Linked DNA regions of Struthio camelus. Each later gene encodes a partner of the first gene's protein in a complex. Links are inferred from orthologs where the notes say so. Each region holds a gene or a part of one and is shown in the gene's direction. Other genes may lie near its edges.

Region 1 (7,289 bases):
TGAAATTATAAAATTTAGTGGAGAAAGTAGTTAAAAAACAAGAAATGCACTGTGTATTAGCACAGGAATTTGGGCTCTCACAAACAGAAGCACCAGAGCTCCCACTGCTGTTTGTTTGTATTTAAGACAAGATGACGCTGTCACTTTTTTCCTTTAACCATTACACTGAAATGGGGGAGGGGGAATTCAACAGGAAGAATCAGATAAATTGTTTGTTTTCTCTAATTTTACAATAAACCACTTAAAACTGTCTAGGAAACTGAACTTAATGGAAGGCGCTTAAAAGCCTTGTTCTTAGTTGTTTTATATGAAGCTATTGTTCCCAAATGCTGAAATCTTACATGAAGAATGTAGAGGGGAGTGTCAAAACTTAAAAGCTAACATTTTCTTGAGAGCACAATAATGCTGCACATACGGAATGTCTCTCTCCTCGAGTACTATTCTCTTTTCTTGGCACACGTGTCACCTTAACCTATAGTTGTTTGCATTTTAACATTAAGTATCACCCACTAATGAGATCCTACACTTCCCACTCTTTTGTGCAAAGCAGCTTTATTTAAAGAACTAGTTACCTGCTCAGCCACAGCTCTGAAGAGACAAGATCCATCCTTGGCAACTCTCTTTCTATATAAGCCCTGAGATCGCAAGTAGCGGTCCATAGAAGCGTCCCCAGGAGCATCTGTGCCGCTGCTTTGATGACTCTGCTCCCTGCCATCTGGTTTACCCGTCGCCTCCATGTTTACTGCTGAACGCTGCAGAAGCTCGCTGCACCTCTCCTAACCCCACATGGTAATGCAAACCCACCGAGCGGCACCAGGGCCAGGTGAAGGAAACCGCAGCAGGTGGGGATGGAGAGCGCTAACCTCTCTCTCAGCACTGGAGGTAGCAGCAGCAACAGGAAAAGCAGCCGTTTTCACGTTATCAACTTGCATGTGGGAATCACGGAGAGGAGGAAACTTTCACTGCAGAGTCTGGACTTCTAGCCCCATAAAAAACGTCGCTTCCAGGCTTCTCCAGGGGGCCCAGCAGCGGCTCCTGGAAGCTGCTCCAGCAGGGTCCCGATCCGACCTCTTCCTCCAGGCAGCGATTCCTCGCGTTTGCGTAGATGTAGCACGCACCCAGGCTGCAAAGCAGAAACAAAAGAGAAAGGACATGTGCTACTACCGAGGGGAGGGGAAGAAAAAAGTGTAACCTGGAGTTTATTTTCACTTTCAGCCGAGAGCCCGGGCGCTTCTGGGAGCTGTAGTCCCGGAGGGGCAGGAAGAAGGAACCGGGCGGGGCACCGCCAGCTGCTCCGGCCCAAGCCCCGCCGGGCCCCGGGCTGCCCGCACGCCTGTCTCCCCAACACGACGCGCCAGCGCCCCTCTCTTGCCTGCAAGCGAGTCCGGCCGCTCCCAGGGCATGCTGCTGACCCCCGCGCCTGCCCTCTCGAGCCACAGGGGCTGTCATGCCATGAAGAACAGGACTTCATGTGCGTGACACTGAATTATGCCATAGCTTGTTAGTCGTTGTGACACCAGGATGTCCACAATCTAAACCGTGTGTGTGTGTGTGTGTGTGTGTGTGTGTAGATATATTATTATACACATAGACACATAAATATATTTTCCCTCAACAGATAAGATAGTGAAATTATTTTTGAAATCCAGCCGCAGGAAGATGAAAGTAGAAGGGGGATAGTAAAATAGGATTTAAAACAAAAACAAAAACACTCTATTCAATATTTCTTTCAGCAGCAAGCAGCAGCAAACATGCATTTTATTACAATTAAGTGACCTATATTTTGCTTGGCATTTTAGAGACTGGCCTTAAAAGCTGCGGGAAGGAATGATTTTGGTGCACAAAATCTGACAAGGAAGGCAGCTTTCCAAATGTGTAAGGCTTTTTTACTGTAGACTTATAACTTACCTAAGGGGGAAAGCTAGAAAGCTCTCAGTAGCATGAGTGGTAAGTAAAATGTTACCAGTTACTCTTTAGTTTAAATTAATAAGATTTTGAGGTCAGAAATAGTGGGGAAGTGGGAAGGAACGACCTTTCTGGTCACTGAACTTAAGGCAGACGCTATGAGAAACCCCAAGAAAACTCCTTATTCCCTCATCCCACCTCCTTTTGCTACTACCCTCAAAATTGTCCTTTCTGGCAGTTATATGAAAACCCTCATTTTTACTTTCAGTCAACAGAAACAAAGCCAGGGAAGGCTATGATTCAAGCTCTGATGTGGTCTGTATACAATAGTAACCAACTGGATAGGCTGGAGTTATAAGCCAAGCTGAGTACCATGGTAGCTCTGTATAAGCAGTATCAAACTTCTTTTTCCTAAGAGGCCCAGGTTTGCCAAGCAAGGAGCAGGTCTACTGGAAACAGAAGCAATCTCCCAGACATCTCTGTAGACAAGGAGCACAGAAACTAAGAGAAGTGAAAGGAAAGCCCTGATGACATCTGAGGCTCTAAGAAACAGGGAGCTAGGTAACCAGTAAGGGCATATAAAGGCTTTATGACAGGGAGCATGAGGCATAAACACTAGTGAGGAACTGAAGGGAAAGCTCAAACTTCTCCCCAAAAGATGTAAAAAGTCCATCACAATGCTGAACTGCAAACAATTGCCGGCACTGACACAGCTACCGTATTCACTTAAGAAATTAAAGCTAACAGATTCCTGCATGGGACAATTGCTTCTTCCATAGATTTAGATGGTAAGACTAGATGCTTTTGTGAGCTATCAAACTAGTGTCCAGTTACAGAGTTTCTTAGGAATTTTCCATTTTTCCCCCTCAGTCTAATAGTCACCTTCAGTACCAGAAGCATCCTCTAACATGCTCACAAATTTGTCTTCCCTTGTATTTGAGCCTTTTGTCACTATGATTCAGAGACCAGTTAGAGGAAAGGTAAATGGCTTTCATTAGGTCTGTTAGACTCAAGAGTGCCTTTATACACGAGGTCACTCAAAAAATAAGGTCATTAAATATGTCACAGAATGCAAACGTAGTTCTGGTATGCGAATAAACTGATAATATTAGAGCCATATAGCTGTCAGTTCCCCAAAAGCCCACTCCTTTTGTGTCTAGCTCCTAAAGTCACAATGGTCATCCACAGAGGTTTTTGCTCATGTACTGCTATCAAAGAAGCAGTTTATTTCTAAAAAGGTGAAGTTCCCATTGAAGAAATCTGGTCAGTACTTGCACAATTTCTAAGGCATGTGGCATTTCTAAGGCATCAATTGAAAAGCACCTGAAACCCCTCAGCATTAAAATGAACGCTCCCTCAAAGTAAAGGGGACCTAATTATAACTCAAGTAGCCAATCAGCAACTAGTTTTATAAACGCTTTCAACCAGTGCTGTCACCAAAAACAGAGCAGTTCCTGCCACTAGTGGTTCCTCTGCACCAACCACTGGTGCCGACAGAGTCAGCTCAGGAAACAGACTCAAGCTAAGAACTTTTTTTTTTTAATTTTTAAACCAAGATCATCGTTATGATTCAATTCACTGCCTGCCTGTACTAACACCTGGGCCAGCACCAGGGAGCGGGGGCACCACACGGTGGTGCACGACCGACCACCCTTACCCGCCTCACGCGTCCATGAAACCACCACCTTGAGGAGACCAGCTCTCGCCCACTTTCACGTGCCCCCTTCCCCATTCCAGACCCCGCTGATTAACCAAAACACTAATAACAATTAAACAAAATAATAATAACAATTAAACAAAATAAAAATCACTCCTTCCAGCCGGCAAATCTCGCTGGCGCGACCCATGGCGAGCCGGGGACAGGCACACTCCCCCCCCCCCCCAAAGGGCCTGCCACCAACAGCCTCCCCGCCCGCCGCAAGGGCAGCACCTTCCGCGGCCCGGCCCGGCCCGGCCGCCTTTGCCCCGGGAGCGGATCCGCCCGGGCTGGGCCCGCTCGGCCGCCGGTGCGGCCACACACACGCAGACGAGTTAGCCTCCCCCCTCAGCGGTTCCCCCCTCCGCAACGGCTACCGGGCGGGCCCCGCACCCCTCCCCCACCCGCTGACTGGCACTTACCGGAGGAGGGGCGGGCGGGCGCGCGCGCTCCCCCCTCCCCCCCCCGGACAACGGCTTGCGGGAGCGGGCGGCGGCACCGCCTCCTTCTGGCCTGGCAAGGGCCTCAGCGGCGGCGCAGGCACTTCAATCTCCCGCGGCGGTCGCTCTGCGATGATGCGGCCGCGGACCAACCCCGTCCCGGTCTCGCCCTCCCGCCTCGCCACTTCTCATCACTCTTCTACACACGCACACGAGTGCGCGCGCGCCCACACCGCTTTCCACCACCCCCCCCGCCCACGATTGGTTTGTCCCACCGGCCACACCTGTGCGGGTGGCTGTGGCTCGTACCATTTGTCGCAAAGGGGAGGAAGGAGACAGACTGTGAGAATCCCCAGATGCCCTAGGAGAAAGCGGCACGTGGCGTAAGCTTCCCCTAAGGATTTTTTTTTTCCGTTGGGTAACTTTAAGGAAGCGGGTGATGTCAAGGCGAGAGGCAGTCGCCCGCGCCTCCGCCCCCCCCCAACAGTGGGCTTGCAGTGGTACCGCCCAGGAGTGTGTCCCTTCCCCCCACAGGGCCGGTAGCGCGCTCGGCGGTGCCGGCAGCGGCGCCGGGGGTTGGGCACGCGGGGGGCGCGTGGGGCCGGGTTCAGAGCGAGGTGCGCGGTGTCGGGGCTTGTCCAACACCGGGCAGGTCCTGTCTGCCTAATTATGGGGATGCGGTTAACGCGCAGTTCAAAGTGCTGCTGTGCGATCCCCTCCCGGCCCCTCGGAGGCACCTGGTTCCGCGAACAGGAGTGGGGCTGGTTCTTTCCCCGATGTACTTTAACGCGTCTCCGAAATAGGCGGCCTGAGGCGCCGCGGCAGCTCCTCCACGCAACCAGGCCGAAAAAGTGGCGTGTCCTGTGCCCCTCCTTCCCTCCCCCCTGCCGCGGCCCCTCGACACGGACGAAGGAGCGAGGCTGCAAGTTTAATTTAAGATGCCTTTTCGTGCTTTGAAGGGAGGGCGTGAAAACCGCAGGCGCGGGATGGATCCCTTTTAACGCTGGTTGCGTGAAAAAGCCGTCTGAATTTGGCCTAGTTATAGCCGCCCCGGCGTGAGGAGGACCCAGCGCCGCGCGGGAGCTGCCGTTGGAGCCGCCCGCGGGGGGGCGCCGCGCGCCGCGGTCTCCCTAACGGCCGCCCGCGGGGGGAGGGGCGCGGGAGGCGGCAGGGGGCTCCCGCCGCCGGCCGCCCCCTGTGGCCCGGGCTCCTCAGGCGGTTTATTCCCCCCGGCACCGCCAGACGCTGTAGTTTAAATCAGGGGCGGCGGGTCGGGAGCATCAGCCGGAGTCGTGAGGAAACGAGGTCTGTGGCCGTCGCGGGCTCGGTGCGCCGCGCCGCCCGGCGGCCTGCGGGCGCAGGAGCGGTGCGGTAGGTAGAAGGCGGGCCGGGGAGCAGAGGGGGACAGCGGCGTTGGGAGCCGGGCCGTGGGGCTGAAAGGAAGGGGAAGGCAGGACAGGCGAGGCTGGGACCTGCCAGAGCGGGGGAGCTGAGGAGAGAGTCAGGCTGGGAGTGTGGCCCTGTCTCTAAAGATCGCGTTACCGTCTTGTAAATCAGAGCTAGCCCTTGTGCAGCCCAAAGGGCTTGAGTGTTTGGCCCTATGGCTCTGACTTCCTCTTGACATCTGTGTGAAGCTGTGATTGGATTAAAGTTTCATTTTTGGCTGTGGTACCAGTTTAAGCAGTGCCTTCACCACCGTCAGGACTCATTTTAACTCTCAGGTGATCAGCATCCTACAAATGATTGTGGGATGCAACAGGAAACATTTTAAAGAGGTTGTTTTTATGGATTTTTTTTTTTTTGACAATTACTTGTTATCATGAGTTAAAGACCCCAGAAAGGGAGGTGTGGTATAGGAACGAGTACTGAATGGAGAGGGGAGGAGGTTATGGCAATCACATCAGCTGCCTTTTTTCCAAAAGAGAGAGTTGTTAAACTGAGTGTATATCTATGTAGCTACATGAATAGCAAGTGATTACTCTCATGTTGCATTACTTTTTCTCAGAAGTACTGCAACAGACCTGATGAAATATGTACAACCTCTGTAAATCAATAGTGGGAAGGAAGTGAGAAGACTAAGCAAGTGTACAACAAATTCAGAGTCTTCTTTCTTTAAACCAAATGCTTATTTAGGCTAGGAACTCATCACTAAAGCGTGTTATCAAGCCAAAACATTTAATGGGAATTAATTAAAAATAAGCACTTAGCCTAGTTGGGATAAATATCAATGATGATTATAAAGTCACTTAAGGGCACATGTAAAAAAAAAAAAATCTCTGTGTGATTGGTTAAAAAAATCTTTGCCTATGTGCTTAATAATTCACTATGAGATTTTTGACTTTGTCTGAAATTACTATTTTTGGTGGAAATAGTAAGGCCTGATTCAATATGCGTTTTCTATGTATGTTAAATAGGCTGTTAGCGTGTGATCAGTACTTTTGAAGACAATAGGCTTAAAAACAACCCAGTGAAAGTTGATTATCAATATCTGGTCTCATATTTCCCAATCTGTAATTCAGTATACGTTTAAGCTGGTAGTGCCTTGGAAAAGAAACAATGCTTTGCTGCTGGTAGCTGCTTGGTCCTGACCCTGCTCTGTGCCTGCCTTTGTGCAGGTACACAGGTTCATATAGCTGGACAGTGAAGTACACTGTGAAAAGTGACCTGGCTCATTGCTAAGCTTCACCTGCCCCGAGCCCCGTTACATTTTTCAGCAAGATCAGCTCTCCAAGCCATTTTGCTGCACGCTTGCTACACAAACACCAGTGCAAGAGAGAGAGGCGTGTGAGGGTGGGAACGAGTGGACAAGCAAAGAGATGACAGGTTTTGATTCTAGTGTAGTGCCAGGCTAAATCTATGCTAAACTTCAGCCTGAGAGACTGACAGTGTTGAGTTATCCTAAACCCTTTTTACCAAACCTGGACAGCATATTCAAAGTTTTAGTTTAATTCCTTTTCAGTAAGATTGTACTCCCTCAGAGGAATAAATCCTGAGCGTTTAAAAAATCTCATTTTATGCCTTCCACTCTTCTAAAGTGTATTCTGTTGTTTGTGAGAGTATTCGTTGTAGCTATGTACTAGTTGATGCTTTTTTAAGTTTACGCCCCTTAAGTTTTAACTGACTCATGTGGTAGTAACTCATTTCCATAAGCTTAGAGAAAGACCTGTACTGCTTGTACTAGGGGGGTGGGAAGAGTAAGAACTTGGTTTTAAAGGCTTTTGTGAATCTTTAACGTTTCTTACTCAGGG
Region 2 (7,349 bases), on another chromosome or scaffold:
CAGAGCTGTCTGTCTTTTTTTCCAGCTTACCTGTGCATGCTGGAGAGGCCTGCCAGTGGTGGATAGTATTATGCAGAGCTCTGAGAGCAAGTGGATAGCTTAAACTGCAACCAAATGGTGCCCCTAAAGCCCAGAACATGATGGAGAAAACAACGTGACCCCCTCTTTAAGAACATGGGTAGGAGTATGCATCCTCCATAGCCACCAGCCTTGTGGAGAGCTGCACCATGAGCAAGGCAGAGGCAGCATGGCTTCGACTGATGCTGTTGTACAAACGCGGCTGGAGAACTGGGAACGGTGTCTGTCTGAACACAGCTGCCTGCTCGGCTGTATGTACCTGCCTGATGCCTTGTGTGTTTGGGAGGCTGCTGCCTCAGCAGGCGCGTGAGCTACCTGCAGGCATCTGCTTGCCCCTTTAATGAGTGGTGCTCTCCTCTAATCACCGCTGGCCCCGGGCACAGGTGGCAGTTGCCGCTTTGGCATTCAGCTCCAAAGGGTTGGAGACACCGACTTCTCGCATCACCCTCCGTCTCCCTGGCGTGACCCTCCTTCCCTTGCTGCTGCAGCCAGCTCACAGGCGCGGGGCGAAGGATTAGTCGGGGAGCTGTTCACGGGGTGGCTGCTTCCCAAAGGCAGATTAAGAGTAGCTTGACCCTGGCTTCTTGGCAAAGCCCCTGGCACCTTCCTCCTCCTCGGGTGTCCACACCTCGCTGCTGGGCGAAGCCGAGGCTGCAGCACAGGAGGGGACGGCGGGGGGTCTCCTGCTGCCTGGGCTCATCCTCTGCTTAGAGATGCACCAATAAGTAGTTTTTCTAATTAAAGCACCCTGCATCTGAACCCCAGAGAAGCCGGATGATGGCTGCTCCATCCCTGGCTCTCTAGAGCTCTACAAAGGCGGTGCTGGTGCCTGTGCTGGCTCCTTTGTCAATAAAGGACACCGTAAAGGGGGTAGGGGCTCTTCCAAAGTACCTTTATTCCGAATTATTCATTTTCTGCTGCCACAGGAACACTCAGCAACCTCCATGGGACCATGTAAATTAGTTATGGGGGCTCTGACTTTGTAAGACTTGATCGAAGGGGGTTTCGGTGGCAGTTCCCAGGGATGCAAAGCAGGGAGCTGGGGCCTGCGCTGCCCCTGACTCACCCGGCCTGCCAGGAGCCGGCTTGGGGAGTTACGCAAGCCGAAAACTGATGGCTGGAGAAAAGAAAGAAGAAATAGGAGAAACAGCAAGTTCAGCTCCCTGGAGCGTGGGGTGGGAGAAGCAGCAGCGCCGGAGTTGGCCAGGAGGCAGGAGTCTGTGCCCGGGCGAAGGAGAGTCCCAGCAGCGGCCGAGACAGGGGCTGTGCCGGGAACCGCGTAACTCGGGGCTGCGGGAGCCAGCTCTGCCGGCAGGGGATGGGACCGAGCCCTGGTTAGCGTGGCTGGGCAGGGGGAAAGGTCGGGGAGGTGGATTTGGGGGAAGAACGTGAACGGCGGAAAGCATTGCTTGAGTCTCCAGTTTTTTTGCTGCACCTGATGCTTGGCCGTAGGTTGTCGGAGGCTTTCTCTTCTCCGTCGCCTGTATTCTGCATTTTCTTCCTGGCATTTACGGAGTGGGGTTTCTTCCTCCTCTTTGCCTCGGAGGAACCGCTAGTGAGAGTGGTTCCCAGCTGATCTGTCGCTAGGCTCAGTTAAGATGCTGCAGACTTTGAGCAAACAGACTGTAACAGCTACAGCTCGGTCCCTCCGAGTGATGATCTGGAGCTGAAAACAAACAGCGAGGAAAGTGTGCCGCGGGGAGCCGAGACGCTGGGGACCAGCTCAGCGGCAGGCTGGAAATCGAGCAGCAGGGCTGTCGGGGCTAGCCATAAACATCTTTGCCGTGCTCCTCCGCCCTGAGCACGCTCGAAAAGTGAGAGCCCGACGCGCTCTGTCACTGCAGGGGACCCGCCTGGTCCTGAGCTGAGCTCTCAGTTAGCCAACGCCGGCACGCAGCAAGAGCAAGGTCCTGGGCGAGGACCGAAGGGCCTCACGCCTTCCATTAAACAGCACTGGGAAAGGATGGGCAGAGCAAAGGAATAAAAGCTGTGGTTTAAAACTGAAGATCCTCTCTGCTCAGCACAACAGCGGTACTTTCGAAATCCCGAATTAAGGCGTGCGCTGGTCGGACTAACGAACTTAGCCGCTAACCCTCCGCGTCCCTTTCTGCTTCCAGAGCCTCCCTGCGCGCGCGCCCCTTGCTTCGGGTCTGGCCGAGAGGCGGGGAGGGTGAGAAGCCGCGGAGCCAGCCCTGCCGCTGTCCCCTGGCAGTAGCCAGCGACGAGCTCGGCGCGAACGCGGTCAGGAGCGACGCCGAGCCCGGCACGCCCCGTCCTCGTCCCCGCTTCCAGTTCCATAAATCAGCCCGATCGGGGAACTAGGTCATCTCTTTGCCTGCAGGAAAAATAGCTCACGTTTGCTCTACAGTAGTATTTGCTACTTCTGTCTGGCTACGCAGGCCCGCATTGAGCCCGGCGTCTGCTCCGCGGGGACGGCAGCACGTGTCTAAGCAAACAGGACAACCTAGTCTCAGCCAGCTGGGTGTAAAAGAAGGCTGGCCCGGAGGTTTGGCGCAGGGAGGTTGGGGGATGCGCCGTGCCTCGGCGGACAGGGAGGATTTAGGGATCCTTTCAGGATTTTTCTTTCAGTAGCGATTTTGTTTTTGGCTGGCAGCAGAGGTGAGCGGGCTTGTTCAGCGTACACGCATCCTGGCATTGCAAATAGAAGTTGGTGTATGTTTTTTTTTTTTTAAATTTGTTAGTTCGTAAATCAATAGGCTGGGGACGGGTCACGGCAGAGGCGCAAGGACCAGGCCCCAGCGTTAACTGCTGGCCGACCAGGCATTTGGGGAAGCAGTGAGCAACGAGGTGCTCGGGGGGGTTGCATGGGGCGCGGGGGCCACGGCCAGGCTGCTCCCACGGCATCGTCTCCGGCCAGTGGCTGCGTCTGCGGGGGACCGCGGGCAGCCGGGTGGCCCCCCGGGCACATCCCGGCCTTGTGGGCGCGCGGGGACGAGCACCTGAGCCCGCTGGGGGCTGAGCTGCCCTCACCCCCAGACCCACGCACCAGGCTCTCGGGTTGGCACCGCTCTGCTTGAAACCTGGCCCCGTGTCCCCCCCCCCCCCAAAACATCACCCCTCTGCTGCACCCTGCGCCCTGCCACACTGCCCCGGCCCCCACCCTCCCTACTCCACCCACCATTTCCTCCCCTCCACCCTGCCCTGAGCCGCCCACACGCTCCATTCACCCCTCATCCCACCCCAGCCACCCTCCATTCACCCCTCATCCCACCCCAGCCACCCTCCATTCACCTCCATCCCACCCCCACGCACCCTCCATTCACCGCCATCCCACCCCAGCCACCCTCCATTCACCCCTCATCCCACCCCAGACACCCTCCATTCACCCCCCATCCCACCCCAGACACCCTCCATTCACCCCCCATCCCACCCCAGCCACCCTCCATTCACCCCCATCCCACCCCAGCCACCCTCCATTCACCCTTCATCCCACCCCAGCCACCCTCCATTCACCCCTCATCCCACCCCAGCCACCCTCCATTCACCCCCATCCCACCCCAGCCACCCTCCATTCACCCCCATCCCACCCCCACGCACCCTCCATTCACCCCCATCCCACCCCAGCCACCTTCCATTCACCCCTCATCCCATTCCAGCCACCCTCCATTCACCCCCATCCCACCCCAGCCACCCTCCATTCACCCCCATCCCACCCCAGCCACCCTCCATTCACCCCCCATCCCACCCCCACGCACCCTCCATTCACCCCTCATCCCACCCCAGCCACCCTCCATTCACCCCCCATCCCACCCCCACGCACCCTCCATTCACCCCTCATCCCACCCCAGCCACCCTCCATTCACCCCCATCCCACCCCCACGCACCCTCCATTCACCCCCCCCACGCACCCTCCATCCCACCCCCAGACACCTTCCATGCACCCCCACCCCCCTCCATGCACCCTCCAAGGGACCCCCGTGCCACCCCCACGCACCCCCTGTATCACTCCTACCCACCCCCTCTGCCGCCCCATCCACCCTCCGGGCCCCCATGTCACCCCCATTGTTACCCCCGCCCCGCCTCGCCCCCCCGCCGGGCCCCGCCGTCGCCCCCTCTCCGCCCCGCCGCCAGGGGGCGCTGCCGCTCTCCTCCCCCCCGCCCCCCTCCAGGCCGACCTCACCTCCATGGCGGCGGCGCGCGGCCGCGCCGCGCTGCGTGCTGACGTGCGCCGCCCCCTCTCCCGCGGGCGGCGGGGCGGGGGCGGCGCCAGCGCGCTCTCCGCGGCCGGGCCGGGCCGGGCGGCGGGGCTGAGGCGGGCGGCGGCGGCGGCGGCAGCAGGCCCGCATGGGGGTGCCCGGGGCCGGCGGCTGAGACCGGCTCCCCCAGCCCGCGCCCGCGATGTCGAACCCCGGCACCCGCCGGAACGGCTCCAGCATCAAGATCCGCCTCACAGGTAACGGCGCCGCCGCCGCCGCGCGGCCCTCCCGCCGCTTCCCCCCCGCACCGCCGCCTCGCCCGCCCCGGCCTGGCCGCCTCGGCGCCGGCGGCCGCCGCCCCCTCCGGGCCGCGGCCTGGCGGCAGGGCCGGGCGCCGCGAGGGGGCGAGGCCGGCCGGGCTGCCGCCGCTACCGGCGCGAACTTTCCCCGGGCCGCCCCCCCCCCCCCCATATATAATATATATATATACACATATATCCCTAATATATCTTGGCCCCCTGGCCCGCGCCGTTGCCCCCCGGCGGGGTGTCAGGTGCGCAGCCCGGCGCTGCGGGGGCCCCCGGGGGGGGGGGGGGCTCCGGGCCCGGCTCCCCCCCCCCCCCCAACCGCCGCCCGCCAGGACCGACCTCGGCCTCCTGCTCCGCCGCCGAGTTTCCCTTGGGCCGGGCAGGCGCTCTGTGCTGGGAGAAAATGTGGGTTTAGTCGCGGGCCAGGGCTGCCTCCTTCCTCCCCGGCCGCCCCTTCCCCCCTTTTCTCCTTCAGCAGATCGCTCATCCGGCTCCCGAAGTTGCTTCGCTGAGCGATAAGGGGAAGGGGGGAAGGAGCGATAAACTGCGCACCCGCGTGTGGATAAGCCAATTCTGTGTTGCACCCTCCAAGAGCTGGATTAAATCTTCTGGAAGCTGCCCCGGTTGATACTGAGGCTGCTTCCTTAATGGAAAAAGGGCAGAGTTTCTGAGGGCTACGGTGTGAATTATTGATAAATAAAGCCCAGTCCAGGCCTCCAAGGCAACAGGTGCAAACTCGGAGAGCTCTTTCAGCGAACCGCCGTGCTGCTCTGGGTCAGTAACGCTGATCTGCACGGAGTTGTTTCCCTGGGTGCGTTAGGCATCGTCAAATAATGGGGAAGCAGCACTCCTGCAGTTACACACAAGATTAACTTGCTTCTGGCATATAATGCAATCAGTCAGAAATAACTCCTAAAAAAAAAAAGAATCCTGCTTTTTTAATCATTTTTGTTTGGTTTTACACTGCTCTGGCTTTAAGAGACTAAAGTTTCTGGGAAAAAACATAAATAGGACAATCCTTTTCTTGGATGTGAAAAGGTTAAAAAAGGATTTAGGGTGTATGTTTGATCTGAAATTACAGTTTTGCACTGATGCGTGTTAAATGTCAAAGCAGTCCTTAATATAACTTATTTTATGCAACCCAATAAATAAAAATGTTGCAAGAGAAGTAGCTTCTGCCATGCTTACAGCCCTCCTCAACGTGAGGGTATTCTTTAAATAGCAGAAAAAAGCTGTTGGGTTTGATTTTTAAAGGAGGAGTTCTGCATCAAAATGCTGTTTTACTTCTAGCTTGCACTGTTCTCTCTTATTTGAGAACGTTTTGGACATTTTCTGGAATAGAGTGAAGGTTTGGTTTGTTAAATAACTGGATAGATTTTCTTGTTCATATATTCCCCCCTCCCCAAAGAAAAGCTGTACTGAAGAAACCTCCAGCTTGCTCAATCATATCTTCTGTCCTTATGAGCATTCAACCTGGGTGGTGTGCCAAAAATTGCTGTATTTAATCAAAAAATAAATTGCTTTGGGAGAGGTGTTGCTTTGGGAGAGGTGTAGCTTTGGAATCGTTAAGAAACGTGTTCCTGGCTTCTCTGGCAACTAGCTTCTCGACTTACCTGTTTCAAATAGCTGTAGCTAGCATGACTTTTTTTTTTTTTTTTTTTTTTTGGAATCTGTTTTGGTATTGGGAGATTTGAGCTGAATTAAATCAAGACACAGCGCATCTTCTGTTATGGTTTACTACCCGCATTGTGTTTCCTGCGATTATAGCCATTTCTGTTTTCCACTCCTGCAAGGAACTGTGTAAATGCCACTTAGTTTGAAGATGCCTGTGAGGGTTACTTTGTAAACGAGAAGTCGACAGTGATAGCATCTTCCGTACTTTTTGAAAGACATACTTTTTTCTTGCATGTTAGGAAGGTGCTTGTATTAGCACTGTGCTGGGATTATTTTATTTATGTGAATATATATATAAAAAAGTTCTGGCTCCTCTGATGTTTATCAGAAGTGATCTTCTAGCCTTATGTGGAATGGTGTCAGTCCTATCCTGATACAAATCATAATGAAGGAAAATGGCAAATAATGCATCCTGTTTAAAAAAAAAAAAAAAAAAAGAGAAAATGCGGTAATAGCAAGTAAGTTGGATGACAGATTAAAGTGACTTTATCTTCTGTGCGTCTCAAACATGGTAATCTCTCTTCGTATCTGAGTTTCCCCAAAAGCCTGTGCAAAGTTCCTTGTATTTCCGATGGAGCTTTCACCACTGCTAGAGATGTCTAGAATTGTTCCAAGAGACAAGGCCGTAAATATCTTTGGCTCTTACAAGTTAAGGTAAACTGAGCTATCACCAGGGTAGTGTAACAGTGAATGACTTATTTAAAAAAAGATGGAAATAATAAAAAGATATTTTAAGTTCTGCAGTGTACGTGCTTGAAAAGTCCACTGAGTGTGTTCTGGGTTGGGGAGGAATGCAATCCAAAGACCAAGGGACCTTTGCTGAGTGCCTCCCCACCTCCTTTTTCCTTTTTTTTTTTTTTTTCTTTCCTCCCTTTTAAGTGATGTGCTTTTGTCTAAAACCTTTTGTTTGCTGCTGCCGTCACTGTCCCCTGGGGAAGTTCCAAAGGGTTTATCAGCTCCAAGGCTTGCATCCTTCTTGCTCATGCTGTTATATCACCCAGAAGTACGTGTGAAAACTGCAGTCTCATTGTGCTAGATACCAGAGATGCTCCTGTTCCAGGTAGCTTGCAGATTAGGTGGCACATAGAGTTGGAAAGAGAGTGAAGAGGTGGGCAAAACATGTAACATTTTT

What was found. Proteins that work in one complex are often made in the same cells at the same time.
Region 2: the proteins of SMAD1 (region 1) and SMURF1 are in contact, whole or in part, in an NMR structure (PDB 2LB1), measured with the Homo sapiens proteins. The link is inferred for Struthio camelus from reciprocal best matches to the Homo sapiens genes SMAD1 and SMURF1. Residues at the interface, in NP_001003688.1 of Homo sapiens: Asp221, Thr222, Pro223, Pro224, Pro225, Ala226, Tyr227, Leu228, Pro229, Pro230, Glu231, Asp232; in NP_065162.1 of Homo sapiens: Glu313, Val314, Arg315, Ser316, Arg321, Tyr323, Val325, Asp326, His327, Arg330, Thr331, Thr332, Gln333, Phe334.

The regions. Positions count from the first base shown.
Region 1 is NC_090945.1:34,653,202-34,660,490, forward strand, and holds the start of SMAD1 (mothers against decapentaplegic homolog 1), read left to right. Parts: upstream 1-4,284; 5' UTR 4,285-4,424; exon of another isoform or gene 4,425-4,448; intron 4,449-5,180; exon of another isoform or gene 5,181-5,412; intron 5,413-7,289. Other genes in the region: OTUD4 (OTU domain-containing protein 4), read right to left, coding at 573-737. UniProt on the Homo sapiens protein: Transcriptional modulator that plays a role in various cellular processes, including embryonic development, cell differentiation, and tissue homeostasis.
Region 2 is NC_090956.1:4,661,722-4,669,070, forward strand, and holds the start of SMURF1 (E3 ubiquitin-protein ligase SMURF1), read left to right. Parts: upstream 1-4,340; 5' UTR 4,341-4,437; coding exon 4,438-4,492; intron 4,493-4,882; exon of another isoform or gene 4,883-4,936; intron 4,937-5,095; exon of another isoform or gene 5,096-5,154; intron 5,155-7,349. UniProt on the Homo sapiens protein: E3 ubiquitin-protein ligase that acts as a negative regulator of BMP signaling pathway. Mediates ubiquitination and degradation of SMAD1 and SMAD5, 2 receptor-regulated SMADs specific for the BMP pathway.